Anolis sagrei: one gene and its partner. The protein of the gene in region 1 binds, or shares a complex with, the protein of each later gene. Links are inferred from orthologs where the notes say so. Each region holds a gene or a part of one and is shown in the gene's direction. Other genes may lie near its edges.

Region 1 (15,681 bases):
TTTTGTTTCCTCGTTGGATGCCCCTAACAAATTTATATATATAGATTAGATTGATTTTATTGCCCACATACTTTAAGTGCAAGGCATTTCTGTTTAGTTTATTCTCTCTCCCTCCCTCCCTCCTTCTCTCCCTCTCTCTCCCTCTTTGGTAGTACAAAGGAAATATTAGTTGTAGCTCCCTTGGCAAATAAAGCTGTTCAGTAAAAGTGTGAGCAAGGTCTCATTGCACCAGGAGAGCAAGGGCTGGGCACTAGACAACACCTATTTTGCACCACTGTTCTTAATTAAACAAGCATTTCATCTCTAAGGTGTTACAAGAACCCTTTGCAAACTGATATTCCAGAATAATATGGCTATGCCTTTTCTAAAAAATCTGTCGCTGTTTCTTCTATGGTATCTCTAATAATTACTTACAGGATACTACACAAAATGTTGCATCTATTTATGGTACACACTCTGTTTTCCTTCCTAAATGCATGTGTGTGTCTCGGGGGGGGGGGGATTTCTTTTGCTCAAAGTTATTTCCATATATCACAGGTTGTATCCTATGTGTCTCATAAATGTGAGGTAGGTACACACAGTACCTCATTGGGAAATTATTGCCAGAATCCAAGCAAACGTGAAGCCAGTTCCATAAGAACTTGTGCACTTCTGACTCACTAATCTCAGTGAAATTCCCACTGAGATAATAATTTTCAGTTATTATCTGATGAACAAGTATCCTTTCCTTTAAAGTGTGAGTACTAATAGAAATCTATTTAAAGTAAAGTTACTGGCATAGATTAAATCTTAAAATTTCCTCGACAGAATTAATATTGAAAGTTAAAAATATAGTGGGCACAAAAATGTATGATATTGCCAGGCTGATTCTATGATCAAAGATGTATTACCAGAACTTCCATTAATGGAATGTAGCTGTAATCCTATACATGTCTAGCTATGGAAAAATGAAAGGAAAATTATTGGAAGGAGTGTGGTGGGGAAATAGACGCAAAATATTGCATACCCTTCAACATTTAATAGATAAAAACCAGGATACAAATAACAAAAAGAGAGTGGGGGGGGGGGGGGAGAATCATAGAATCATAGAATCAAAAAGTTGGAAGAGACCTCATGCGCCATCCAGTCCAACCCCCTGCCAAGAAGCAGGAATATTGCATTCAAATCACCCCCGACAGATGGCCATCCAGCCTCTGTTTAAAAGCTTCCAAAGAAGGAGCCTCCACCACACTCCGGGGCAGAGAGTTCCACTGCTGAACGGCTCTCACAGTCAGGAAGTTCTTCCTCATGTTCAGATGGAATCTCCTTTCTTGTAGAGAGAGAGAGAGATCAAGATGGAAAACATTATTTGTAAGGAAGAACAGACAAGCTAGGAGAGACTGCATCAGTTTGGTTGTCTGAGTTTACAGCTACATTGTAGAATAAATTGATTGATTGATTGATTTAAAACATTTATATTCCGCCCTTCTCATCCCGCAGGGCACTCAGGGCAGAGCACAACATATATACGGCAAACATTCAATGCCGGAACATAAACTATAAATATACACAAACATTAAAATAACTTATATCAACTTTAAAATTGACTGTTTTAAACCATCTCAGGACACCATTCTATTATTGTCTCATTTTACTGCCCCAAAGCCTTGGTCCCACAGCCAGGTAGAACTGCACTTTAACTGCCATGACTCAGTGCTATGGAGTCCTGTGGTGTTGAAGGAAAGTTCTGAGAGTGCCTTGGACCACAAGAAGATCCAACCAGTCCATACTTCAGGAAATAAAGCCCGACTGCTTATTGGAGGGTAGGACAGTAGAGGCAAAGATGAAGTACTTTGGCCACATCATGAGAAGACAGGAAAGCTTAAAGAAGACAATTATGCTGGGGAAAATGGAAGAAAAAAGGAAGAGGGGCCGACCAAGGGCAAGATGGATGGATGGCAGCTGGAGGTAGTGACTGCCGACAGGGAGCTCTCGCGTGGGCTGGTCCAGTAGGTCACAAAGAGTTGGAAACGAATGAACGAATGAACAACACCAAATGCACCCTGAGTGCATATATACTGAGTGGAGAGTATGTCATCTTAAGACAGTGCAGTCCAGAAATAGGTTTACAATCTCAGTGAAAAAAGAAGTGGGACTCTCACTTTAAGAGGCAAGTTTCAGTTGTTTTCATGCTTCAGGATGTGCTAACTCAATTTTGAAAAAAAAGCTTTCATTTTTGGCAGGTGGGACCAAAATGGTTAGAGGAGCAGCAGCTTGTAGTACCAGACAAGGGTGACTTGTACATTGAAGTTCTGTTCCTTAAAATCTGATGTGGCTCTGCAGTCCAGTAATGTTTAAGTAAATACCTGTTAGTTGAAAGCATCTTTGTATTTTGCTGTTTCTTCTATTGAGAACAGGAAACAACATATCAACACTAGCAGATTGCCCAAGTATCTCTGCAGACGTTGCTCAAGTATCACATCCATTGCTGCACATAAATCAACAGGAAGGAGATTCACTTGCTACATAAAAGAAAATGGGAGAAGGTCTCAACACCTCCATGGGGCAACACTGGTGTACCCACCATCCATGATTCTAGCTATTCTAAGAATCTCTTATGTTCATACACATGTGTTTATTTATGCACAGGGAGATATGAATACGTGACTCCTTTTAATTGTCATTGAATAAATAGTCAGTGGGTACAGTGGAAGTGCAGGTGACATATGGAAAACTGTTTCAATTTATATTGTAAGCCATTTTGAGTCTCGTTTAGGCAAAAAGCAGAATCCTTGTCATCATGGGCCATCATTCATGGCCAAGTATGATTATCTTCCAGAAGCAGGGTCTTAGCGATGGATTCATAAATGACTGTGAAGGCCTATTCTGGATCCACTAGACATACATTTCCAGATAGAAGGTGGTCACAAGGGTTTGGTTGCCATGCCTTCCTCTTGGCACATTTCTTCTTTTCACCCTTTATCCATGCCTCTTCAAAATCTATAACACCTTTGGTAACAGCTGACCTTGAGTTGCCAGGGCTTTCCAGTTTTTGTGTTCATGCCACATTTTTGTAGGTTTTTAGCCCATCTTTAAATCTCTTTTGTTGTCCTCTGACATTCCATTTTCTGTTCTTTAGCTGAAAGTAAAGTAACTGCTTTGGGAGGAGGAGACCGGGCATTCAGCGGTGGCCAGTCCAACAAAATGGATGGTGAGAATCACTGCTTCAATACTGGTGGTCTTTGCTTCTCCCAGCACACTAATGTTTGTCCGCCTGTCTTCCCAAGAGATTTGCAGGATTTTTATTTATTTATTTATTTATTTATTTGCTTTATTTCTATACCGCATTTTTCAGCCCAAACAGGCGACTCAATGTGGTTTTTGTTTTTCTGAGGCAACACTGATGGACTCTTTCCAGAAGTCAAGAGTGACATTTGTAAATGCTCTGTGTTTTGTAGCCACACAACAGAGTTGGATGGAGAATAGCTTCATAAACAAGCATCTTGGTATCTCCACAAATGTCCCGATACGCAAACATTCTCTGCTTCATTCGAAAAAACACAGCACTCACAGAGATTAGACAATGTTGTATTTTGATGACTTTTGTGGAGAGGTGGCTGCAAATGGAAGCAGAAATGGTCAACATTTTCTAACATTACACCATTAAGCTGTGTTAGTTTGTGCCTGCTGGTAGAGTTCTTTGATTTTTCCTATGTTAACTGAAAGGCCAAGCTTTTCATAGATTCTGAAAATATGTTTAAAGTGGCTTCTAAATCTTCCTTTGAATGAGCACATTATCATCAGCATATTGGAGTTCTATAACAGAAGTTGTTGTTATCTTACTTTTGGCTTTCAGCCTGCTGAGGTTAAACAGCTTGCCAATATGTGATTTCCACACCAGTGGGAAGTTTCCCATAGAAGCCAAATGAATAATTAAATGGATTGTGCAGCCTCACACCATTAGTCCTAAAGACATTGAACACGCAGCAGTAATACAACTTTTTCCAAGGCATTACCATGCCCATAATAGTGAAGCATACTGGTGGAAAGGGCTCCAAGGCCCAGTGGGCAAAAGTATAGTAATGATAAATGCAGCCATGCTTTCCAGATGTTTTATGGAAACCAAGCCATTACAATATAACCCTGTTATCAGTGTATTTAATGTTCATGGCTTCACTTATCCATGTTCCAAAAATTATCCCCTTGCCCTGCTTCTGGGAAGTGTTTCCTCGTATGAGGACCTGGTTATTTTGGTTTATTGTAATTTGTCATGTTAACATTGTGTTAGTAAATGGTGGTGGGAGCCAGTAGAAAATTTGGTTGTGTTAGGACCTAGCAACAGATATTATAGATAGTCTCTGGTCTGTTGAGATCCCAACATTTTGTAACATATTGCTTATTTTTTTTCCACTCACCAGATACCTTTGAAGGCAACAATAAGGTTGATGTGGCCCTCAATAAAAATTGAGTTTGACACCCCTATTCTATGGTCTCCTGTGGATACCAAATTTTGTGGATGCTCATGTTCCATTATATGCAATGGTTAGATTTATATCCTACCTTTATCTCAGACATGCAATTTAGGGCAGAAGCGCCTTTCCAATAAGTGAATATCGTGCTTCCAATTCAGACATATACATTTCACTATACTGTTAGCTGAGAAGACCGTGAAAATATATGATCTGTGTATTTTTACAAACATGTTCATCTCCCATAATTATCAGGACCCACAATTAAAGATGAAGTGAAGAACGGAGAAATATAATTTCATACACTGTAGATTATTTTCTGTCAATAACAGCACCCATTCTCACTAATATCAGATGAACATCTCCCCTCATCTGGGCTTCAAGGAGCACTTACACTAATGCAGTTTATGGAAAACATCCAAAAGATTTCCTTTATGGCTCAACCATTTTCAATTATTTAGAGGCCAGAGATTAGGAAAATATACCTATATTGCATTTTGTGAAGAGGCATATAAGCATAGGAAGCAGTTTGAACATTTCCTTTGTTGTCAGATTTTAGCAGCAAGCCTATGTTAAATTGAAACTACAAAATATTATTGGATGTAAATTCTTTATCTCGAGTGAGAATAAGCAGCAATCCATGTTTGTGGATTTCAACTCTTATAGCTTAAAAATAGGTAAGCTACATGTGGTTTGCAGGCCACATGTGGTTCCAGATTCCCAAATAATCACTAGTCTACAAAGGGCATTTCCCCAATACTTAGATAACATGCTGGAACCACCAGGGGTCAAAACAAAACCTATGAATTTCACAGGATTTTCCTAGGCAAGAAACTCAGACAAAGTACCTCCTCAGAAACATAGCCTACAGTACCTGGTCTCCCATCTAAGTATGATCCAAGACTAATCCTGCTTAGCCTCCAAGACCAAGGGGGATCTGGTGACTTTAGCTGTTTCTTAGTGTTGATTGCCATTAAGTCAACTTTGTTATGGCAACCTTATAGATGACAGGCCTCTAAGGACCTTATTAGAAGTTGTCCTCTATTTCTACACACTTCAAAGATGGGATTCCACGGATCCCATTAAATGACACAGGACACTTCCATGGGTCTTCATCTCCGTAGAAACGGGTGGATTTTAAAGACAAGATAGTCGACACCACTCGTCTCCGTCTGTTTAGAAATGGGTATTTTTCTATGGGAAATTGTCCATTTATCAATTTTCAGTCCATATTCTGATATTTCAGGGTGGGTGCTCATGTGAGGGGTCTTTTCATGCTCCTTGTTGCTCCTTCTGCTGCCATTAGTCTTTGGACTTCTATTCTCCTTTTAAAAATATTTTGTTGTTGATACTGTGACTGTGCAATTGAAGCATGGACCTTTGAAATTCTGTAATTGCACTTTTGAGTATGGAGAATTGGTACCAAGTTTGGTCCAAATCCATCACTGTTTGAGTCTACACTGTACGGATGACAGAATGGGAGGAGACAACACTCGCCCATGTGATGAGAAATGAAGCACAGGGTTAAACAGAAAAGGAAGGAGTGATGGGAGTAAGCAAATTCTCTTGTTTTATTTCAAAGGAAGGAAGACGATTCCTCCTGCTTTTCCCCCTTTGTGGGATGAGGTACGAAGTCAGTGGTTCTCAACCTTCCTAGTTCCACAACCTCTTAACACAGTTCCTCATGTTGTGGTCACGCTGAACCATAAAATTATTTTTGTTGCTACTTCACAACTGTAATTTTGCTACTGTTATGAATAGTAATGTAAATATCTTATATGCAGGATGTATTTTCATTCACTGGACCAAATTTGGTACAAATACTTAATACTGGTGGGGTTGGGGGGGTTTGGTTTTGTCATTTGGGAGTTGTAGTTGCTGGGATTTATAGTTGACCTGCAACCAAAGAGCTTCTGAACTCCATCAACAATGGAACTGCACCAAACTTGGCACACAGAACTCCCATAACCAAAAGAAAATACTGGAAGGATTTGTCGGCTTTGACCTTGAGTTTTGGAGTTGTAGTTCACCTACATCCAGAGAGCACTGTGGACTCAAACAATGATGGATCTGGACCAAACTTGGCACCAATACTCAATATGCTCAAATGTGAACACTGGTGGAGTTTGGGGAAAATAGACCTTGACATTTTGGAGTCATAGTTATTGGGATTTATAGTTCATCTACAATCAAAGAGCATTCTGAACCCCACCAACAATAGAATTGGGCCAAACTTCCCACAGAACCCCCATGACAAACAGAAAATACTGTTTTCTGGTGGTCTTTGGCGACCCCTCTGACATTCCTCTCACTAACCCTCTCCAGACCCTCAGATTGAGAAACACTGTTCTAAGTCATCAATAAGCCAGGCCTTCAAGACTCGGGGGGCAATTGATTCCTTGATTGAGTCCATCCATGTGGAATGTGGTCTTCCTTTCTTCTTGTTGCCTTCCATCTTCCCATTGTTTTTTAGTGAGTCATGTCTTTCTATGATATGGCTGAAGTATGACTGTCTCAGTGTAGTCATCTTGTCCTCTAGGGAGAGCTCAAGCTTGATGTGCTCTAAGAACCATTTATACTGGTATTTTTTAAAGCAGTCTACAGTACAATTCTCCAATGTCACATTTCAAAAGAGTTGGTTCTCATCTGATTTATAATAATAATAATAATAATAATAATAACTTTATTTTTCTACCCCACCTCCATCTCCCCGAAGGGACTCGGGGCGGCTTACATGGGGCCATGCCCAGACAACATACAGTTAAAAACAGAACGCCCATATATAAAACAGCATAAAACATCATCATCATAAACAATAAAAGCAGGCATCATAAGCAACAATATAAGTACCCTTTCTTTCCTGTTCCGTTTTTACAACCATTTCTATATAAGAAATTGGAACTATCATGGCACGGACAATCATGCCTCTGGTATCCAATGGTGCACCTTAATACTTAAGGATCTTGTTTAGTTCCTTCACAGCTGCCCTTCCAATCCCTAGGGTGCACCTACACTGTAGAAATAATGCGGTTTGAGCTGCATTGGCTCTAATGCTATGGAATCCCGGGAGTGGTAGCTTTACAAGGCCTTGAGCCTCCTCTGCCAAAGGTGCCTCACCAAACTACAATCCCAGAATCCCACAACATTTAGCCATAGAAGTTAAGAGTGGTGCCAAACAGCATTCATTCTATGTGCTGCTTAAGGTTTTCATGGCTGGCATCATTAGGTTGCTGTGAGTTTTCCGGGATTGTATGGCCGTGTTCCAGAAGCACCCTCTCCTGATGTTTCACCCTCATCTATTACAGGCATCCTAATTGGTTGTGAGGTCTGTGGGAAATTAGGTGTGGGGTTTATATATCTATGGAATGTCCAGGGTGGGAGAAAGAACTCTTGTCTGTTGGAGGTAGATGTGAATGTTGCAACTGGCCATCTTGATTGAAACTGAATGGCTTTGCAGCTTCAAAGCCTGGCTGCTTCCTGCCCAGGGGGAATCCTTTGTTGGGAGGTGCTAGCTGGCCCTGATTGTTTCCGGTCTGGAATTACCGCTTTTTGAATCTTACCCTGATTTTAGAGGGTTTTTAGCCAGATTTTCTTGATTTTCATGGTTTCCTACCTTCTGTTGATATTGCCCACATACCTGCCATAGACGTGGACGAAATGTCAGGAATGCTTCCCGAACATGGCCATACAGCCTGGAAAACTCACAGCAACCCAGCATTCATTCTGCAGTGTAGACGCACACTGTGGCAAATACCATAGGTAATGGCACCCACACTCTTTGGCAGAGAAGGCTGAATATCTTGTAAAACTGCAAATCCTAGCAACAGGATGACCTAACACTGAGCCATGGCAGTTAAAGTGGTGTTAAACTGCATTCATTCCTGGTTTCTGAGGGCCCTTCCACACAGCCCTATACCCCAGAATATCGAGAATCCCAGAATATCTGAATTGAATTGGGTTGTCTGAGTCCACACTCAGATAATGTGGAATCTTCTGCCTTGATTTGAATTGGTTTCTGAGTTCATATTCAGATAATATGGGATTTTCTGCCTTGATATTCTGGGATACAGGGCTGTGTGGAAGGGCCCTCAGAAGGGGGAATGGGAATTTAGGTCCTTTCCACACAGCCCTATATCCCAGAATATCAAGGCAGAAAATCCCACATTATCTGAAAGTGGATTCATAGAACCCAGTTCAAAGCAGATATTGTGGGATTCCCTGCCTTGATATTCTGGGCTATAGGGCTGAGTTGAAAGGCCCAAAGTGATTTCTGTTGGGCGAGTTCACCTTTCTGCTTCAAGCTGGGCTATGAAACCCAGGCAGGCGAGAAGCGGAAGTAGTGGGCAGGAGGAGGAGGGGCGGGGAGAGCGAAAGAAGAGAAGCCTGGCCGAGGGCCCGCCCGCGCCACTTCTCCTCAGCCGCACGCTTCCCGAATCGCGAGCGCGTCACTGCATGCTTCGGTTTGACGCGCCCGCCCGCCCCCTCCTCCTCCTTCCCCCCCCCTTTCTCCGCGGCTCCTCCCCCCTCCTCCGACTCTCTCGGCCGGGAGGGACGGAAGAGGCGGCCATTTTGGGCTCGCGCTCGTGTGTGAGTGTGAGCGAGGGGGGAGCGAGGCCGAGGCTGGGAGTGACTGACTGGCTCCTTTGCGGAAGTGGGTGGCTTCGCTCCCCCCGCCCCCCTCCTCCCTCTCCTCCTCCGGTCCTCTGAGTGCAAGGAAGGAAGGCAGGAAGGAAGGCAAGAAGGAGGCGAGCCAGTCCCGCGGGCGCCTCGGCCGCACCTTCTTTTCCCTCCGCGCCACCGTCGCCGCCGCCGCCGCTCGACCCGGGAAGGAGGATGGCAGGGCGGCTCCCGGCCTGCGTGGTGGACTGTGGCACCGGGTGAGCCCAGGGCCAGGGGGAGGGAGCCAGGCGGGCAGAGAGGGATGAATGGGCCGGAGGAGGCCAGCCCCTGCCTGGGAGCTGGCTGGCTGGCTGACTGGCTGCTGACAGGTCGCCGAGACGGGAAAGGGAAGGCTGCCATTGCGGTTCCCTTTGGGGGCGGCCCCACTCTCTCTGTGAATATAAAATAATATATAATGTATGCGTGTGTGTGATGTATATAGATGTGTGTGTGCATTGTATGGTGTATGCATGTGTGTGTATGTGGGGGGGGGGGAACTGCTTGCTTCAACCCACCCCTTTCCCAAATCAAATAAAAGGTCTCTCTCTGTGTATATAATATAATACATAATATGTGTGTGATGTATATAGATGTGTGTGTGTATTGTATGGTGTATGCATGTGTGTGAGTATGTGTGTGTGTGTGTGTGTGGGGCGGGGGGTGAGGGGGTGGAACTGCCTGCTTCAACCCACCCCTTCCCAAATCAAAGAAAAGGTCCCTTTTTAAGTACATCTAAACCTCAGTTCATTGACATTCCACTTTCTCGTCCCTTCTCCATTGCACACCCATCAAGTTGTGTGTATGTGTGTGCACACACACACATAATACAACATTTATATGTCGCCCTTCTTCTCACCCTGAAGGGGACTCAGAGCGGCTTACAAGTTACATATATACACAATATATTGTATTATTAGCATAGCACAATATTAGTATTATATATAACTACATTGTGCTATACCACTCTACTGTAATATTATTAGGTTGGATATATTTGTGTGGGTGTGTGTGATGGGGCAACTGTTTGCTTTACCCCCATTTGAAAATGAAATAAAAGGTGGCTATTCCTTCCTCCTTTCCCCGAGGCATAGCCAATCCCCCCCCCCTTTGGCTCTCTTTCCCCCCCACTGCTCCCTCTGTTCTGTTGCAAACCCTCCAAGTTGTGTGTGGGTCCAACAGCCTGCCTGTTTTACCCACCCCTGAAAAAAGTACAGGGTTTATTTTCTCTCTCAGATTATTCAAAGCTTCTCCTCACCTCATTGACATCCCTCCCCCCCCCCTTCATTGCTAACCCTACAAGTTGTGAGGTGAGTGTGTTTTATATACGCATACATATACATACATACATACATACATACATGAAGAGGGGTGTCAGTGAGGTGAGAAAAAGCTTTGAACCATCTGAGGGGGGAAAGGGAACCCTGTATTTCATTTTCAGAGGTGTGTAAAGTAAGCAGGCAGTTGGATATATATGGATTTTGCTTTTGGAGAAAGGGGACCTGTCTCCTCCATGGCTGTCGTTTTGACGGTTTGCTCAGCCTGTTCTTGTCTTGAAGGCATCCACCTTCAGGAAGGTGGCTTTGTGGGAGGAGAAGGGAGTCACGCCCTAAAACAGCAGGGCTCCTTCCAGGTTTAAATATGTGGGATTGGCCTTTTGCTCATTCCTCAGAGGCGGTGGCCTCTCTCATGCACTTCTTTATTTCTTTCCTTTCTGGAAGTGGGCTTGCATTGTCTCCCCATTATAAAGTCACGGAAGATGCCATCGCTACTGTTTCTGTTCATTGTTCATTTAAAGGCTGACTGGACGTTTTCCATTAGGAGGATGTCCTCTGGAAACTGGGTGTTTGCACCCTAATATTATCATTGCATACCATAATTTTTCTACTCGTTTCAGTGGCCTAGAAATTTCACCCTTTAGTTCTTTGAAGAAGCAGAGCTTCCCCATTTCTTTCATAATGAAAACGTGCACTTTCATGCAGCTTAGCCACAGAGTCAAGCTCAGACAGTTTAAATATTTTATGCTTTCCAAATCAAAGCCGGCTAACAAATAATTTTGAAAGGATTTCACCCTCTTGTCTGTAATCTGCAGATAGATCTAGTGGAGCGGTAGCTTTATTAAGCAATGTCATGTTTTTTCCATATGTGTCATTTCTTCAGCATTACTTCTCTGTGTGTGGGTGAAAAAAAAAGTCCACCCGCTCTAGTGAGCAAGCGCAAACCAACTTCCTTAGTTTTGTCAAAGGCTCTTCCTCCTTTCAGGCTTCTATACCTTATAAGGCAGTTTTCAGTGTCAAACCTGAACCAAATCCTTTTTTTAAATTTTACAATTGACAGCTGCAAGGAAAAATAGCAATGCTCAATATTTAATATCTGCTTATAGAATGGAGCTTTCCAGCAGACAGTGAACTAAGCCATTGGGGACTTCCTGAAATGAGCGTTTTGTATCTTTCTTTTTGGTGCCTTAAGAAACTGGGCGTAAGGAAATTTCTTTTTGTGAAGACCTTTGCTCAGTGCATATGCAGATGACTTTGAAAATAACTCAGCAGCATTTTGATATGTAGATTGTATTTGCAGCATCTAGCAATGAAATAATAACATAACAGGTCTGCTTTTACAGCCCATATAATTGGTGGCACAGTGAGTTAAATTGCTGAGCTGCTGAACTTACTGACTGAAAGGTCAGTGGTTCGAATCCAGGGAGCAGGGTGAGCTCCCGCTGCTAGCCCCAGCTTCTGCCAACCTAGCAGTTCGAAAACATGCAAATGTGTGTAGATCAATAGGAACCGCTTCAGCTTATTTTTCAATCTGGAAAAAGCATGTGTAGGTGAGAAAAAGAGTAGGAAAAAACATCACAGGATTAAAGTACAGCTAGTCTCTGACTATTTAAAATTAAAGCTATAATGAAAATCTTAATATATAAATTCTTTTGATTTTCTACTGTTATACATTTCTGGAAGCTGTGTTGTTTTGGTGAACTTATGGTGATTCAGTATCACACAATACTTAATAAGTCACGTTTTCTCCTTCGAAAACCTTTTTTAATGAAGTTTTGACTATGCACATCTATATGAGGCTTCTTTACATCTCTGAGAACTCAGTGTGAATTATAATGTTAAAATGATCTGTGGGTCAAAGAGGTAGGGATAATCATAAGTGAATAAGGGATTTAATTCCTGATTCTGCAAAAAATTCCTGAATTGCTTCTTGACAATTGAAGGCAGGATTTTTAAAATATTAGATAAAATTGCACAGACAACTTTAATAGTTCTTTCAAATAACAAACTAAATTTGTGAATTCCTATGAAAATTGAAAGATGGGAGGTCTCAATGCTATTATCCTGGAATTACATTCTCAGTACTGAAGCTGCTTATTTTATGTTTAGCATGTAGAGGAGACACATAGAGAATAGGGGGACCCATTTTAAGTGCCCTCAGTCCTTCATGGGAGTTGCATACCACAGTTTTCTGAAACTGGAAATGATTTTCCAGTAACATCCAGTAACCTTTTTGTTTTGCTTGTTTTGGGCTGGATTTTGGAATAGAGGAAGCTGAAGCAGTTATTAACACTTAACATTGAACCCAATGAAGAGGTTTTTTGGCAGTAGTTCTCAATTTGTGGGTCCCCAGATGTTATGGCCTTCAACTCCCAGAAATAGTAACAGCTGGTAAACTGGCTGGGATTTCTGGGAGATGTAGGCCAAAACAGCAGGGGACTCACAAGTTGAGAACCACTGTTTAGGGCATTGCTGTAAGTGTTAATGGGCACATGCTGCCTAGATACTTGCTTACTTACCTGAGTCCTATACCTGTTTTAGAATATTGATTTGTATTCATCGGGTTCTTATGTATAGTTTCAATTTCCAATGATGTATTGTACTCCTCTGACTTGAATTGTTCTGATGCCATTCTACCCTACACCTTTCTCTGTCTCTTCTGTTGATGCGGATTGGCTTTAATGTAAAGATATGGTTGTTTAAATGAATAAGTTGATTGGAAACTACTATGTATTTCCTTCTCATTCTCATAGCCCACAAATGTTGTGTTTACCTGTAAAGATTTATTTTCTGATTACTTCAGTTCCTGTTATAGATGACTTATGAGGTACTCTTCATGCAACAATGTGCTTATACTAAGAGCTGAACATTTAAAAGTGAAAAGGGGAAATGCAGGTCTCCAGTTAGACATGGAGCTGCAGTGCCTGGTTCATGTCCCTGAGATTCTCCTGAATGTTCCTTTCCCTGCAGCAAAACTGGAGTGTTAAACGATCCTGCTTAATTAAAAGTTAATTGAGTTTTGAAAGCTAAGTGTGTATGGAGGTTCTTACAGAACTGAGATCTTAAAAATGCAGTATAATGAAAATTTAGAATGATGGTAGATTGATTTATAGGTTCGAACATGTATCAGAATGGTTCATTTCAGACATGGACCAAATTTTGATTTGTACTCACAGTGGATTGATCTTTCAGGTGCATTGGGTTACACTATCTGCAACTAAGATTAGCTTATTTGAACACCATGCCAAACTGTAGTACAGAACTTGATTTCTAATTCTGGTATAGTGCAAAAGATGGCTTGTCAGTTCAGTCATGATGACACAGTAAAGTTAAATGTAATGTTTAATGTATGACATCGTAACTTGGGTGAGACTAGATGACCTTTTTTTTAAAAAAAGAAGTATTCCACAAACTGTGATAAAATCTGTTTTTCATAGCATGTGATTTTTAAATAGTTATCTTACATAAACTATGAAACTTGTTTTATGGTTGGTGGTACAACATGCATAAATTGTGAACCTGAGGATACATACATACAGACATGCGTGTGTGTAAGGTAATATTCTGTTCACATTATATTCAATTACCTTGCACATTAGGATTATGAACTTCTTAGGCAGTGTCCTATTTAAGCCATTGATTCCAAGCATCCATTTTTTGTAATTACAGTTCATTTAAAAAATATTTGCATTTCTATAAATATGAAATACTCTTCAATCATAAACTGTTCTGAGGACATGTGGTAGTTACTGTGTATTGGAGCCTATGCCATTATTTTGCAGATCATTTTTAAAGTCAATTTATTTATTTAATTGATACCCAGCCTTTCTTCTAACTAGGGTTCATGAGTGGAACAAATTAAAGCAAAGTGCTTTGAAAGCGATTTTCCTGCTTCTTGGCAGGGGGTCGGACAGGGTGGCTCTCGAGGTCTCTTCCAACTCAATGATTCTATGATTCTAAGGTAGAATTAAAAATAAGACAATATACAGATTAAGCAAATGTTGCAGCCCCATGTAGAGTGCTATACTGTAGTGGCCCAAGTGGAAGATATTCAAGTGGTGAGTGTGCTGTACCCATATCTAACATCCAGGAACAACAAGTGATACATTAGCCCCAACAGTGCAGATGCATTCATGGCTATTATGAAAACTTGAACATTCAGGTTTAGGGTTAAAATCAAAATTACAATCAAGCAACAAACCTGTAATTTCAGTGGGAATGCAATCCCATTTAGCACAGATTGAATCCTTATTCCCTGGTTTGCTTTTTGACAAACCAGGAACACTTTTGCCTTAACATGGTTAGGTTTCAGTTTGCTCACCTATGTACAGTCCATTACTCAGAATAGAAACTGTCCTAGTAATGAAACTACTTCCTTGAAATTGCATGTAAAGAAAATATAGAATCTTGGGCATCAGGTTGTTTTCTTTTGTAAGAAATTAGCATAGTCTTCTATATATGTAAACTGTTAATTATGATAACATAGCATGGCAGTGTACTCATTCACACAATTTTCTAATCATGTTACTCACATACATGGAACTGGAAACACGCCATCTTTACTACATAGGAGACAAGAAGGCTCCTCTCAGGTTGTGGAAGTACCTTTAAAGGGAAGCTAGGCATCTCTGTGTACGAACCCACACGATCTCTTTGTTCATCTGGAGAGGCCCTGCTGACGATCCCACCGGCATCGCAAGCGCAATTGGTGGAGACGAGGAATAGGGCCTTCTCGGTGGTGGCCCCTCGACTCTGGAACTCTCTCCCTAAAGTCATCAGGATCAGGCAGGCCCCGTCGCTAGCAATCTTTAGGAGGAGCTTGAAAACGTGGTTGTTCCAGTGCGCCTTTCCAGAATAAGGAAACTCCTAGCATTATGTCCCAACGCACTTTATCAGAGATCCAGGATATCTGCATGCCCATCCCCCTCCAAACACCCCACCTTGTCATGCCCAGCACTTGGCCCGGCCATTGTTTTTAATTGCGTCATTGGGTGTTGTTAATGTTATTGCTATTCTTTGCTATTGTTTTGTTTTTTGAGTTATTGTGTTGTTGTTGCTGCTGCTATTTTTATTGTTGTATTTGGGCTCGGCCTCTTGTAAGCCGCACCTAGTCCTTCAGGAGATGGTAGTGGGGTACAAATAAAGGTTTATTATTATTATTATTATTACCCACTCCATGCTGTCTTTGGATGACAGGCTAAGCCCTATTTATTTCAGCAAGTTTTTAGCAACTGACTGCAGAAAAAGACTTTTAAAGGGAGGTGCTGAACTTAACTCATTTAAAAATAATTGTATATTCA
Region 2 (15,696 bases), on another chromosome or scaffold:
GACATGAGATGAGAGAGAGCCATTTTTAGTTAGTCTTACAGAAGGAAACCAAGCTACAAGACGTGGATTAGCTCCATCCACAGAAAATCTTCACTTCTTAAGAATTCCAGGGAATTCCAGGAGAACAGTCTCAGAGCTCTGGCAGGGAGCTTACAGCCTCTCAGCCTTACAGCATCTGAGGGAAACAGCCCTAAAAGGTTTCTTAAGAAATTCCAGGGGAAAGCAGCTTTCAGAACTCCAGCTGGAGAATCTGCAAGCCTTTACTGGTAGGTCTACTCGGTGCTCAAGACGCAGTTTGAATCCGGTAGTAGAACCCACACCAGTAAGGCTTACATAGTAGACAGCCTGGGAGAGGTTAAAAAAGGGTTTTCCTCTTAAAGTGAAAGAACAGTTAACGAAGACAGTTGCCTGTCCCTTGAGGACAAGAGTAAGGAAGCCACCAGTTGACTCAAAGCCTTGAAGCATTTGTTTGACTCATTGAAGATTTGAGAAGTACCTGTTTAATTTGTTCAATAATAAAGGACTTTGTTAAATCAAGAAAGACTCTAAGACCATTTCTATGGGAAAACCCTTGAAGGCCTCTCTTCGAGGCGCCCTGGCTTTCCGCTGGGCACAAAGTGCACATCCTATTCAAAGTAAATTGTTACAGGCCCAGTGCGTGACAGAACAATTCCAATTCAAAGCAGAAAATGTTGGATTTTATTCAGCTGTGTGGAAGGGGCCTTAGTGAAAGCGTGTGTCAGGAGCTGAGCTTAAAAAAGCTTGGGTTTTGAACAACATCTCCTATATAGTTTTCCCAAAAACATTTTCCACAGTCAGTCAAGAGCACATAAGTGAATTTGAAATACACACAATAGTTTAAAGTACACATTGAAAATTAATCTACCCTGTTAATGTCCCTGCTACTCTATCCTATAGTTTGTTTCTATTAGATTTACCTATGAGTTAACTCACCATTCAGCCATTGTATTTATTATTCAAACTTATATGCTGCCACTCCCCTAGGGCTTGGAGCAGCTTACAAAACAAACTGGAATCTAACACAAATTAAAACAACAGATCAAAGGTCAAAAGCCTGTCCAAAAAAATATGTCTTACAAGCCCTGCGGAAGGCTGATAAGTCCCGCAAGGCACGGACTTCTGGTGTCAGTGTGTTCCAGAGTGATGGTGCCACTACTGTAAAGGCTCTGTGTCTAGTTGCTGTTAGACGCAAGGTTTTAAAACAGAACTTCCAATAAATCTTGGTCCTCGGAATGGAGAGATCTCTGGGGCCAACAGGTCTACTCTTAGGACTAACCAACAAGATCTCAGCTGTTGTTTATTGGAGCAGAGATCACACATTCAACATGAATCGTTTGCCAGCCAATATATAGGAGTAGCAAAGTCCCTGTTGATGGAGTTTCCTGATGCAGCTGGAACTACAGCTGAGAGCATAGCAAAAACATTGCCATTGTCTAGAACAGGGGTCCTCAAACTAAGGCCTGTGGGCCAAATACGGCCCTCCAAGGTCATTTACCCGGCCCTCGCTCAGGATCAACCGAAGTCTGAAACAACTTGAAAGCACACAATAACAACAATCCTATCTCATCAGCCAAAAGCAGGCCCACACATATCTTTGAAATATTTATATTTGTTAAATTTGTTCTTCATTTTAATTATTGTATTGTTTTTAAGTGTTTTTTTTTTGCACTACAAATAATATATGTGCGGTGTGCATAGGAATTCATTCATTTTTTTTCAAATTATAATCAGTCCCTCCAACAGTTTGAGGGACTGTGACCTGGTCTTCTGTTTAAAACGTTTGAGGACCCCTGGCCTAGAAGTCACAATCTGCACCAGAGCCCTAATTAACTGGGAGGAAGGAGTGTACCATCGAAAGGCACCACAGGCTGCAGGCTTACACACAATATGCTACAAAGAATATTTAGAACCATGCTGTTAATTGCTGCCTCAAATTTACAAGAATGATGCTCACCCACTCCTTGTTTTTGGAGTTGATCAAGCCAGTTCCCAGCTTTCTGACTGCAAAATAGTATTTGCCTCTCAATTATCAAATGTGTGGGAAATATATTACTAAAGCAAGAGATTGTACAGTGAAAAGAACTCGAGTCCTTAAAGCTGAGTGTGCCCTTGCGCCTGGGGGCTATAAACATGGCTCTTCGAGTTGGCCTTTAACTGAGTGCTATATCTTGGCAATGATGACCGGAATGGACCACGACTATGAGACTGACTATGACCCATGATATGACGAAGCGGATTTTTAGTATAAGTATATGTCAAGTAGTAGTAGCATGTTATGTATTGTTCTGATAACTGTAAATTGTCTTTTCTATGTTGTTGTTCACCGCCACGAGTCGCCCCCTGGGCTGAGAGTGGCGGTAAATAAGTGCAAGTAATAAATAAATAAATAAATAAATAATTCCTAATGAAGGAGGCATCGACGTGGCATCTTTCCCCAGGGGATTGCTTCTTGCCCTCCTATAGGAAACTGGAACTCTCAAAAACCCAAAATGTTGTAAATAACTCAAAATAAGTTTTTATTTATCACAAAGAGTTATTTCTTAAAGCAATGAGCTGAAAACTTCAGAGGGGTGAAGGCAAATATACTTTACAGTCTCAATTAGTCCTGGGTCCAAGGTGTTTGAAGCTGAGAAGCCTCCCCAAGTTTCCTCTTTCCTCAATGGCTGTGAATGCCGGAGCAAACCACAACCCCAGTTCAGATGGCCTATGTTTTGAAGACTCAGGATCTTCCTTTGGTGCCAAAAGAACCGGTTTGAAGGCGCTTGGGTCTCCTCAGTGTTGTCCAGGATGATCTGGACATAAAGCATGAGTCCCAAGGGTAAAAAACCTCAGAACTGGTGCTAAGAGGTTACTTAAATCAGGGTCCTTTAGAGACAAGTCTCTTACTCACGTCCATATGGTAGGAACTCTGATGGCAGAATGAAAAGGAAAGGAAGCACTCCCCTCCTGCAGGAAGAGGTGGAGCCAAACAGTACTGATTGACAGCTATAAGTAACCAATCCATACAACTATACATAAGCAGGGTAAAAGGGGCAGGATTAAGCATGATACAACAGTTTAAATCTTGCAACTAACAGTTCTACACATAGGTGGCGCCACTTGTGCCATCACACTGAGTTTCTCTGTGTTTTTTTTTACTTCTCTTCTTCATAAGGTTGCATTTCTATAAGAGCTGGATGACAAAATGTTCCTGAAAGGGAACAAAATGTCTTTTTTATATGAAAACTGAAAGCTGTCTTCATCCTTAGCCAGGGCAATGTTGGCTTCCAGAACGTAGAAATACTTTGCTTTAAAGGGGATTCCACCTTAGTCATACTTTCAGCTATTTGTTTTTATTATTAAAACACCAAATACTTGATTTGAACTGTGCGTCCACAGGGGCATGTTAATCTAGCTTTTCTCAAAATCTTCATCAACATAGAATCATAGAGTTGGAAGAGACCTCATGGGCCATCCAGTCCAACCCCCTACCAAAAGCACCCCCGACAGATGGCCATCCAGCCTCTGTTTAAAAGCTTCCAAAGAAGGAGTCTCCACCACACCTAACTCCAGCAGACAAAAGTCCTGTGTCCCACCCTGGTCATTCCACAGATATATAAACCCATTTTCCTACTTCCAACAGACCTCACTACCTCTGAGGATGCTTGCCATAGATGCAGGCGAAATGTCAGGAGAAAATGCCTCTAGAACATGGCCATATAGCCCGGAAAAACCTACAACAACCCAGTGATTCCGGCCATGAAAGCCTTCGACAATACATATTATTATTATTATTATTATTATTATTATTATTATTACCCAGCTTATAACTCTATCGAAAAAACAGAACCTCAATATTGTACCTAACGTTTTGCTATAACTAAACCAGTTTCAAAGCAGTGTAAATTATAATATAAATGCAATCTCAAAGTTTCAAAGGAAGCGGGAAAAATAACTAATGTTTTTTGCTTGTGTCTATGTGTGTTTCAGGACTGTTCCAGTAACAGGACAAGATTCCCAGAGCCTCATGGACCCAGAGACTGAAGCTTTTTGTCAAGAGTACCTAGTACCCCATGGTACAGTGGTGAAGCCGTATTACTGGCTAAACACAAGCCAGGCCTGTGCCAGATGTCCGTATCATATAAGAACAGGGGAGCAGGCAAGGGTCCCTTATGCTGAATTCCATCAAGCTTTTGGGTTCCCCTATGGGCCAACACATCACCAAAATAAACACCTTCTCTTTTATGAAGTAAGGCACTTCTCAGGTAAACGAATGCAAAAGGGTCACGCAACGAACTGTACAGAGAATGACATCCATCCAGAATCAATGTTATTTGAAACTGGAGGCTACCTCGACTCTGTCGTACACAACTGGGAAAATGCCATGTACATAATTCTCTATTCCAACTATTCCCCTTGCAACGAGGCTGAGCACTGCTGCATAAGCAAAATCTACCGCTTCTTGATGAAGTATCCAGGAATCACACTTTGCATTTATTTTTCACAGCTGTATCACACAGAGGAGGACCTCCCAGTATCTCCATGGAACTGTGAAGCTTTGCAGAGCCTTGCCAGCCTCTGGCCTCAGGTGACACTGAACCCCCTCTGCGGTGGACTTTGGCACTCTGTCCTCCATAATTTTGTGACTAATGTCCCACAGGCAGGTTATTACCGTCCAATTTTGCCCATAAGAGCATTGACTGATAGACAGAATGCACAACACCTTAACAACATAACAGGAATGCGGTCTCCTTTCATGAAGGCCTTGCCTCAGCCAATTTATGGAAATGCAAGTGCTATGCCAAATCTGCAAAAGAACTATATGTCTGCTTTATACTCACAGCATCCAGTGCAACTGATGAATAGCAGATTGCCTCCGCTAAGAAGGCAACCTCTCAATTTGACCCCTCCCATGAATGTTTCTTCCCCCTGGAAACAGCAACCCCTACACCCCAAACCTAGAAATATTGTGAGGCACTTAAAAATGCCAAATGACTCATTAAGCAAAGTGAAACATTTGCAAGTAATTCCCAAGGGAAGAGCTGTTCACATGGAGAAAATTACTAAACAACACTGAGGCAAGCAAGCCGGCGGAGCATGAAGGCCACAGGAAGAAAAAGGATTAAATTCAGTTCAGCTAGAAAGCTATTACAGGGCTGGGCAATTCCCTTGGTACAAATAGTTACATAGGAGATATACAATGAGCTGGGAAAACTGGAGCTCATTAGCATGGAATCAGCAAAACGCACACATTATTTTCACTTGAACTGGATATTGTGCCAGGATAGAAAGCTTCAGCTGCCAGCAGCAAAAGGAAGAACCAAAAACCAGCCCTCTTTGTCATCTCTGCTTTAGCCACTGGACAGTTCCACTTGCCAAGAACGGCTGACCGCCAGCAGCCAAGTAAGGGTCAGTCCTCCATTTTTCAATTCGAATGTTAAAACTTTTTCATTTTTTTCCTGTATAATTGGTTTATATTATTACTCTATATCATTTTTTTCTTTCAACTGCCCTGTGATTATCTGACAACCTTGTGGGACATAAATACAATAAAGCCGCAGCAAACTGAGCAGACTTACCACAAAGGGACTCAGATCGGCTGTGTTGACCAAATACCACAAAGAGGTAATCCAAGGCAACATGTGGCAAGACCACCAAAGTTGCAGGATGCTCTAATTGTGGCCCAGAATTTGGAGTTTCCTATGACTTTGTCTATATAAACCAGGAGTCCTCAAACACTGCACATATCTGATTTGGACTATTGCAACGCCCTGTATGTTGGCCTTCCGATGTCTACGACCCGAAAGCTCCGTATTGTTCAGAATACGGCAGCCAGGTTACTCACAAGAAAACTCATGAAATGCCATATAACACCAGTGCTGCAACATTTACATTGGCTTCTGTAGTGAAATTGCTACTCTGTGTTAAAGTTTTGGTGCATAGCTCTATGTTTACATATGGCAGAAAGGGAAGAATAGGCACAGACAGGGTAGCAACAGCAGAGATAGGATTCATTTGCATATGTGAAGCCAATTGGTCATATGCAGATTAGTGTAGGCCCAGGATTTGAAAAGGCTGCTAGGCCAAAATGACAGTTGGGGAGAGCAGAGCTGAACATTCCAAAGGGGCGGATCCAAGGTTCTAAAAGAGGCAGTTAGAGTGAGGGAGTTTGAAAATGACAGTTTGGAATCTGTGTGTGAAGAGTTGGTTTTTGAGTGCCTGATAGAAATAAACAGTTATGAAGATGTGTTAAAGACTTCTGATACAGAGAAGCAGTTAGTAAATAGAGCTCGAGTTTAAAGGAATATAGAGAAGGCTAGTGTTGCCTTAGTTCAGAATATAATTCAGCCAAGAGTGTGTAAAGCAAGTAACATGTTTGTGAATATGAAACATTGAGAGTTTATTCAGAAAAGTTAACCAAGTAAATGATATTGACTGTAAGCCTCAAGATTGCAACAAAACACAAATGTAACCACAAGCGTTGGAGCCAGAAGTTATAAATAAACTGTGTTACTTGGTTTTACACAAGAGTGTTTCATTGCCTGCGATATACAATACAAAGGTTTGACAGCACACAGAAAGCCCCTACCAATATAAAAGAAGAAACTGAATCAGTATAAGGCAGCAAAGAAGTTTTTAAAAGAGGAAATAGTCTCTCTCCCTCGCCTCAGCTTCCAAATGAGTACCGTGGCCTGTATAAGATGTTAGTTCTGACCTTTACGGCCAGGGTCCATCATACCTTAGGGAGCGCTTCTCCTCCCATCATCGGAGGTCGCAACAACCAGCCCAACGCAACTTACTCTATAGACCGGGTCCTAGAGAAGTGCACTTGGAAAGTACCAGATGCAGGGCTGCTGTGCCCAGGCTGGTTCCTCAGGTGCTCTGCTATGGCTGACTTCTCCGGTTAACGTGGTCTGCAGTGCCTTTCATGTTCCTTGATTTGTGTTTGGGCAATGCTGCGTTTGGTGGTCCCTATGTAGACTTGTCCACAGCTGCATGGTACACAGTAGACTCCTGCAGAAGTGAGAGGATCCCTCTTGTCCTTTGCTGAACGTAGCATTTGTTGGATTTTCTTGGTGGGTCTGAAGATAGTTTGTATGTTGTGTTTCCTCATCAGCTTCCCTATGCGGTCAGTGGTTCCCTTGATGTATGGCAAGAACACTTTTCCTCTGGGTAGATCTTCGTCTTTATTCTCATGGCTTGGTCTTGGTCTTGCAGCTCTTCTGGTGTCTGAGGTGGAGTATCCATTGGCCTGTAGAGCCCAGTTGAGGTGGTTCAGTTCATCTTGGAGGAGGTGGGGTTCGCAGATTCTTTTTGCACGGTCTGCCAAGGCTTTAATGGTGCTTCTTTTTTGACTTGGGTGATGGTTGGAGTTTTTATGTAGATATCTATCTGTGTGTGTGGGTTTTGAACAAAATGAACAAAATCTGGCTACCAGTATTAAAAACTCTAAAATCACAACAGCACAGCAACAGAGAAGAAACAAACAAGGACATCTAATCACCTCTCAACAAAAGATTGCCCCAGGCACTGCCAGGCCATCAAATGCTAATCAAGGTGGTCAGTTGAAATATTCACAATTTCCCCTTCCCTTCTGCTTTCCCCTTCCCTTCTGCTCCCTCACCCATATTGTGCTTGAATCGTTATATTTATATTTTTAATGTACCAAACATACCAAGCTTTTATGAAAATGTGACTATTTTCTGTGCTGGTCAATGACCGAAATAAATGATTTGATTTGAAACATTCACACCTAGCTCCAGCAGACAAGAGTCCTTTGTCTCGCCCTGGTCATTCCACAGATATATAAACCCATTTTCCTACTTCCAACAGACCTCACTACCTCTGAGGATGCTTGCCATAGATGCAGGCGAAACGTCAGGAGAGAATGCATTTAGACCATGGCCACATAGCCCGAAAAAACCTACAACAACCCGAAGAGGATGTTGTTGTGAGAGGGGTCAAAATGTCTTCCTCTATTAGGTTCTTGTGGGTTTTTTCGGGCTATATGGCCATGTTCTAGAGGCATTTCTCCTGACGTTTCGCCTGCATCTATGGCAAGCATCCTCAGAGGTAGTGAGGTCTGTTGGAATTAGGACAATGGGTTTATATATCTGTGGAATGGCTGGGGTGGGGCAAAGAGCTCTTCCCTGCTGCAGCTAGGTGTGAATGTTTCAACTGATCACCTTCATTAGCATTTGAAGGCCTGGCTGAGCCTGGGAAAATCCCCTGTTGAGAGGTGTTAAGATGTGCCTGGTTGTTTCCTCTCTGTTGTTTTGCTCTTGTAATTTTTGAGTTTTTTAATATTGGTAGCCAGATTTTGTTCATTTTCATGGTCTCTTCCTTTCTGTTGAAATTGTCCACATGCTTGTGGATTTCAATGGCTTCTCTATGTAGTCTGACATGGTGGTTGTTGGTGTGGTCCAGCATTTCTATGTTCCTTTATTGTCTGTTCCGCTTTACGGCGACACAGGGAGATACTTTTCCCCTGTTACGGCTAAACCCAAAGAGGGGCGTGGCCGAGCACTTCCGCCCTCACCGAAGACGCTGGGCGCGTCAGAGGTCACGTGCTGCTCACACCTTGCTCTTTCACCACGTCGGTCCGCAATTCTGCGCATGAGCGAGACCTCTGGGGGGGGGAGGAAATGATAGTTTGGCGCCTGCGCAGTAGAGTAATAACAAAGCAAGCGGTTATATCGTTGGTAACAAGACTTGTTAAAAAAGCAAGGTGGAGATATGCATCTGGGCCGAGTCTCAGTCTCCTATGTATTTCGCAAAGGCAAGTGCCGCGCGGCGGGAGAGTCCGCGCGCTCGCTCGCTCCCCCCCCCCCAAGCGCGAGCGCTTCTCCAGCGCATGCGCGGCGCCTCTTTCTTGACGCGAGGCCACCGCCTCCGCTTGGGAGGGAGGGAGGGAGGAGCGCCGCCTTCTTCTTCTTCCTGCTTTCCTTCCTTGCCTGAGGGAGTGAGGGAGTGAGTGAGGTGGGGCGCAGCCATGGCGAAGCACACCGTCTCCTCCGCGCGCTTCCGCCGAGTGGACGTGGACGAGTACGACGAGAACAAGTTCGTGGACGAGGAGGACGGCGGCGACGGGCAGGTGGGCCCCGACGAGGGCGAGGTGGACTCCTGCCTCAGGCAATATCCTTCTGCTGGTTTGGCCCTTGAGGGAGAGGGGGAGGGGGGAGGGAACAAGGCTTCCGGCCCACCAAGAGCAGTGCAATCTCCTCGCCTCCCCCACACACCTCAGTACCATGCAAGTTGGGAGGGAGCATTTGGCAGGACACTTGAGGCATCCACAGAGAAAAGGGGCAGGCCCAGGGCTCTTCCACACAGCCATCTAACCCAGAAAATCAAGGCAGAAAACCCCTGGTTTGAACTGGGCCATCTGAGTCCACACTGCCATATATCCCAGTTCAAAGCAGATCATAGAATCATCCAGTCCAACTCCCTGCCAAGAAGCAGGAATATTGCATTCAAAGCACCCCTGACAGATCATAGAATCAAAGAGTTGGAAGAGACCTCATGGGCCATCCAGTCCAACCCCCTGCCAAGAAGCAGGAATATTGCATTCAAAGCACCCCTGACAGGTGGCCATCCAGCCTCTGTTTAAAAGCTTACAAAGAAGGAGCATCCACCACATGCTCATCCGGAGTTTTGGAGTTAGGTGCCATCTCTATGCAGATGACACACAACTCTACTACTCATTTCCACCTAATTCCAAGGAGGCCCCTCAAGTGCTGGACGAGTGCCTGATCGCTGTGGCTGTCTGGATGAGGAGGAACAAGCTGAAGATCAATCCCGACAAGACAGAGGTCTTCCTGGTCAATCGTAAACCAGATTGGGGTATAGGATGGCAACCTGTGCTGGACGGGGTTACACTCCCCCTGAAGTCAAAGGTCCGCAGCTTGGGAGTCCTCTTGGATTCATCACTTACGTTTGAGGCTCAGGCGTCAGCGGAGTCCAGGAGGGCTTTTGCACAACTAAGACTTGTGCACCAGCTGCGACCGTACCTCGCAAAGCTTGATTTGGCCGGGGTGGTCCATGCCTTGGTCACCTCTAGATTGGATTACTGTAATGCGCTCATGGGGCTGCACTTGAAAACGGCTCGGAAATTCCAACTGGTCCAACAGGCGGTGGTCAGGATGTTAACTGGCGCTCCTTACAGGGAGAGGTCAACCCTCCTGTTTAAGGAGCTCCATTGGCTGCCGTTTACCTACCGAACCCAATTCAAGGTGCAGGTGCTTACCTACAAAGCCCTGAACGGTTTGGGACCTGCCTACCTGCGTGACCGCATCTCCATTTATGAACCCATGCGCTCCCTTCATTCATCCGGAGAGGCCCTGCTCGCGATCCCACCTGCGTCACAGGCGCGTTTGGTGGGGACAAGGGACAGGGCCTTCTCTGTGGTTACCCCCCGACTCTGGAACACCCTCCCCAAAGACATTAGACTAGCACCCATGTTGGCAGTCTTTAGGAAGAACTTGAAGACCTGGCTATTCTGATGTGCCTTCCCAGAATAGGATAACCCCCAGCACCATGTCCCAGAAACACTTTATTAGAGTTAAGATTCTCTGCACATTGCACTTACTCAGAATTCCAACATACCACCGTCACATCCAGCACTTTTTAACCTGTACCCATCATTGGCCCGGCCTGATTTTAATGTGTAATAGTGTAATGTTTTTGTCATTGCTTATGTTTTAATTTTTGCTTTGTATTGTATTGTTATTGTTTGCTGTTGTTGTGTTGAGGCTTTGGCCTTTGTAAGCCGCATCGAGTCCTTCGGGAGATGCTAGCGGGGTACAAATAAAGTTTAATAATAATAATAATAATAATTTTTCATTTATGGTGGGAATGCCCCCAAGTGAAGAATTTTTGGAAGGATATATTTACCGAAATAAACAACATTATAGGATCAAATATTATGCCGGATGCTAGGTTAGCATTAGTAATGGACACCACGTAGCTGAATGTAGAAACAAGTAAGAAAGAATTGGTGACTATTTTGCTCAGAGTGGGAAGAATTATAATAGCAAAGAATTGGAAAATAATAACTAATCTAACACTGGAAGCAAGGTATAGGGAAGTTTGGAATGTAGCTTTAAATGATAAACTAACAATGGAAATGAGGGTATTCAGGGGGGAAATTAACAGATCAGATTTTGAGGCATACTGGTTGGTCTTTATTAAATATGTCTTAGAGAGCGAAAATGGAAAACAACAGAATTTGGTTGGTCAGGAATTTTGGAGATGACATTTAATTAATGGTTGATTTAGAAATACATGGTGAAGGAAATGATACTTGTTCAGGCCTTGGTGGTGGGGCTATGTGAACACTGATTATTATTATTATTATTATTATTATTATTATACCCTGCTTTATGAAGGGGACTCAGAGCAGCTTAACACAAAAGCATCAGCATAACAATTTAAAAATATACAAATATGCAAACATTAAAACAGGATTAAATATAACCAGAATTTTTAAAAATCCTAGTTAAAAACCGTCAAAACACATTCAAAGTTAAAAATCACAGCGCACCCTTAATTGATCTTAAACACCTTCATGCTTCTGAAACTGTGGGTCCCGATCCCAAATAGCGTCCCCTTAGCTCAACGTTCGGATCACAAAAAAATTGACAACGGTAAAGAGTTTCTGAATGCTGAAGCACTGAAGCAATGTTCGGCCTTTCTGCACAGCCATATAACCCAGAATGCTTTGAACTGGGTTATCTGAGGGCCCTTCCACACAGGCCTGTATCCCAGAATATCAAGGTAGAAAATCCCACATTATCTGAGTGTGGACTCAGATAAACCAGTTTAAACAGAATATCAAGGCAGATAATCCACAGTATCTGCTTTCAACTGGATTAGCTGAGTCCACACTGCCATATAATATATCAGTGTGGATATTGTACAGCTGTTTGGAAAAGGCCTTTGTTAGTAATAAATTGCAGCGTTGCAGTGGACTCAGCAAAAAATGTTTCAGGTGTACTCCACAAAAAGAAAAATCAGCCTGTTTAGCAAGCCTTGCAAATGCTTTTTATTACCAGTAAATACTTGTATTGTTGAGGGCTTTCACAGCCGGAATCACTGAGGTGCGTGATTTCCAAGCTGTATGGCCATGTTCTAGAAGCATTTTCTCCTGAGGTTCCATCTGCCACAAATGTCAGGAAAAAAATGCACTAACAATACGGGTCATACAGCCCGGAAACCACACAATGCCTGAGTAAATATTTTATTTTATACCTATTAGATATATCTATGTATCTGGGGTCATGTAAAATTCCATGGCAAAAAGGGAGTCACAAGTGGAAAAAGTTTAAGAAGCTCTGGACTAGATGACACTACTGTCTCTTAGCCAACACTCCCCACATCTTAATATGGATAGGAAGTATTGATGGCCAGTCAGGAGACTTACTGAAGTGACATATCTGAGATACTCTGAATATCAAAAGAATCATATGCGTATTTGCTTCATCATCATTATCATTCATTAATTCTTTGCTTAGGATTGAAGCCCGATTTTATAGATGATCACATATAAGAAGGCTTGATAAGGGATTACTCTCAAGTTACATTGCAGAAGAGTGCAGCTGAATTTTGATTATAGAGGTCTTTATGTGGGAATAAATCCACTCAAACTTCGTGGGATGAAATGAAAATAAATATACATATAATTTGCCTGTAAAAACAAAATATCATGTTTATACTGGATCTTATGGTATGTGTGTATGTATATATATGTGTGTGTATGTATGTATGTATATATGTGTATGTGTGTGTGTATGTATGTGTGTGTGTGTGTATATATATATATATATATAATCTGTTATATTATAATTAAGGTATGGTTGAGATTATAATTCTCGGATGGAGAGCAATTAATAAGTAATTAAATATGATGATGATGATAATTAACACAGCATGGGAATTGGGATAGAAAATAAAGAAGAGTGGACTGAGATTTGTATTAAGTAGTTCCCCACAGCTCTACCTCACCAGATTTCTGCATAAACTTCTGACTGACAAATGACTGCTGAGAGACTATTTTAACCCACACAGTTTTGAATCATAGAATCATAGAATCAAAGAGTTGGAAGAGACCTCATGGGCCATCCAGTCCAACCCCCTGCCAAGAAGCAGGAATATTGCATTCAAATCACCCCTGCCAGATGGCCATCCAGCCTCTGTTTAAAAGCTTCCAAAGAAGGAGCCTCAATATGAAGTTGGGGATAAAAAGGTTGCCACTAATGCCGAAATACCTTAAAGGCACCATCTGATATTCAAGGTGAAGCAGTGTCTGCCCTGGTTTGTGTTGGATGGGAGACTGTTAATAACTGTTAGGTGCTGTATGCTATATTTCAAAGGAAGGAACTACCTCTGAGTATTCCTTGCCTAAGAAAAGCATTTGATATTCATAGGATTGCCATAAATCAACCGTAGTTTGCACATACAAAACATGCATGTAACAGATGCTATTCACATTAAATCTTCTTCCAGTCAACACTGCTTTTATTTTTAATCAGCAATAAATAATTTTGCTCTAAAATATCCCAAATCTCAGCACCAAAACTCTTTGAGATTCAAAGGATCATTATAAATTAATAGGCAATTTAAAGGCACACACAACAGGTGAGCAGACAAGGCTTTCAGGACCTATTTTACCTTTTATTTAAAGTCTGGGGTCCTGCCATGTACAAAATAGTGGCTCAGGAGGGTGGATATATCCTGAAAAAAGAACACATGTTATCCTCTTGCTTCTCTGTTCACTTCTTTGTTTCAGCAGCCTGGGGACATTATAATTTTCCTGTTGTGAGTCACTAGGGAATCAGACTTGCTGATCTACTATAGATTGACCAGAGAACTACACTCCCTCTGCCTTCCTTTGTTCTATAAAATTGTTGTTTTGTAGGCCATTCTATTGCCTTTTTATTCTTTATTATATTATTTTATTTATTTATTTAGAGCTTTTATAACCCGGTCTTCTCGACCTCCGAAGAGGGACTCAGGCCGGCTGACAGCAGAAAATTCATACACAAACAGAGTAAACATAATAGCATCATAATATATTAATACAAATTACATTAATATACAGATCATACAATATCATACAATTATAAAATTATATATAAATAAAAGGAACAGAGGTGTGTATCTGTATCAGGAAGTGATTTATGTAAGAGCAAGCCAGTTTGACACTTGGTAGTCTTAGCTGTGCAAGGATTTTAAACTGCCTCCACCTTTAATACACAAAGCCTTATCTAACTTTTTACTTCCTTTGCTCCCTCTCTTCCCTTGATTTTGCCCTTACTTTTGAAAGCTGGGAAAGGGTGTGTGTGTACAATCTAAACCAGGGGTCCTCAAACCTTTTAAACAGAGGGCCAGGTCACAGTTCCTCAAACTATTGGAGGGCCAGATTATAATTTTTAAAAAACATGAATGAAATCCTATGCACATTTGTGCACTACAATATATTATTTGTAGTGCAAAAATACTTAAAAACAATACAATAATTAAAATGAAGAACAATTTAAATAAACTTATTAGTATTTCAATGGGAAGTGCGGGCCTGCTTTTGGTTGATGAGATAGGGTTGTTGTTGTTGTTGTTGTTGTTGTTGTTGTTGTTGTGTGCTTTCAAGTTGTTTAGTTGACCCTGAGCGAGGGCTGGGTAAATGACCTTGGAGGGCCATATCTGGCCCCAGGGCTATAGTTTGAGGACCCCTGGTCTAAACTATTGTTTCTCTTTCTGTTTTGTCATCCCATGATTAAACTAAACATAGAAAAATTGATCAATACCCCATAATTGCAATGTGAACTTTTTGGTCAGGTTATAAATTATAAATAATGGTACTTACTCCACCCCTGCTCTAAGAGTAACTTTCAGTATCCCCTGGGAAGCTAGTGGTCATATATAAGCTTGATGGCAAGGTACTAACTAATTGTAATTGTTTAGGGAACCTTTGTAGCTGAAGGGCAGGGTATAAATAGGTGTTCAGCCACCCCCCACTGTGCATATTTCACTGTCCCTTAAACCACCCTTTCCTGCTTGCAGAGATTTGGAGGAGGTTTTTGCTTTTTACATTCTCTAGCCAAATCAGTGTTTCTGCACTGCTGTGGCCCACTCCTATCTCAGTGTGAAAGGTTTGTACAGGCATTGTAAAAGTTAAAGACTCTTTTAAGTATTCACAATATATGAGTAAAGTGTGCTTAATATAGTTAGCATGGATATCCTAGACACAAGCAGTATGTTCTTGTGGGTTTTTTCGGGCTATATGGCCATGTTCTAGAGGCATTTAGGCAGTATGGTTTCTAGAAGCATACAAGCAGTATGGTTTGCTTGTAAATATTCAAAAGTGTCTGTATCTTTTGCTTTGCTGGTACGGGCCTAAAACATGTATTAAACAGTGCTAAATCTAATGGCATGAGAGAGAGGAGGAGTCACAGGACCACAGCTTTCAAATTTCCTGGTGTCAAACTGAAGCAGTAGAGGAAGTACATGCATTCTGCAGTGGCTTACCTTTTATGGAAACAGTTGCATCTAGTCTATGATAGTGTAACTAACTGGTATTGATATCATAAATATGGAAACATTAAAAATGGAAACAGATTGTCATATGAGGAGACTTTCTAGCACATTTCAGTGGCCTTCAAGAAATAATGAAGAGAAAATTAGAAAAATAAATCCTTTTCCTGA

The links.
Region 2: ACTR3 (region 1) and ARPC5 share a complex: the UniProt entries of both Homo sapiens proteins name them as parts of the arp2/3 complex. The link is inferred for Anolis sagrei from reciprocal best matches to the Homo sapiens genes ACTR3 and ARPC5.

What each region holds. Positions count from the first base shown.
Region 1 is NC_090021.1:215,782,429-215,798,109, forward strand, and holds the start of ACTR3 (actin-related protein 3), read left to right. Parts: upstream 1-8,975; 5' UTR 8,976-9,281; coding exon 9,282-9,325; intron 9,326-15,681. UniProt on the Homo sapiens protein: ATP-binding component of the Arp2/3 complex, a multiprotein complex that mediates actin polymerization upon stimulation by nucleation-promoting factor (NPF).
Region 2 is NC_090024.1:122,445,501-122,461,196, forward strand, and holds the start of ARPC5 (actin-related protein 2/3 complex subunit 5), read left to right. Parts: upstream 1-8,912; 5' UTR 8,913-8,992; coding exon 8,993-9,135; intron 9,136-15,696. UniProt on the Homo sapiens protein: Component of the Arp2/3 complex, a multiprotein complex that mediates actin polymerization upon stimulation by nucleation-promoting factor (NPF).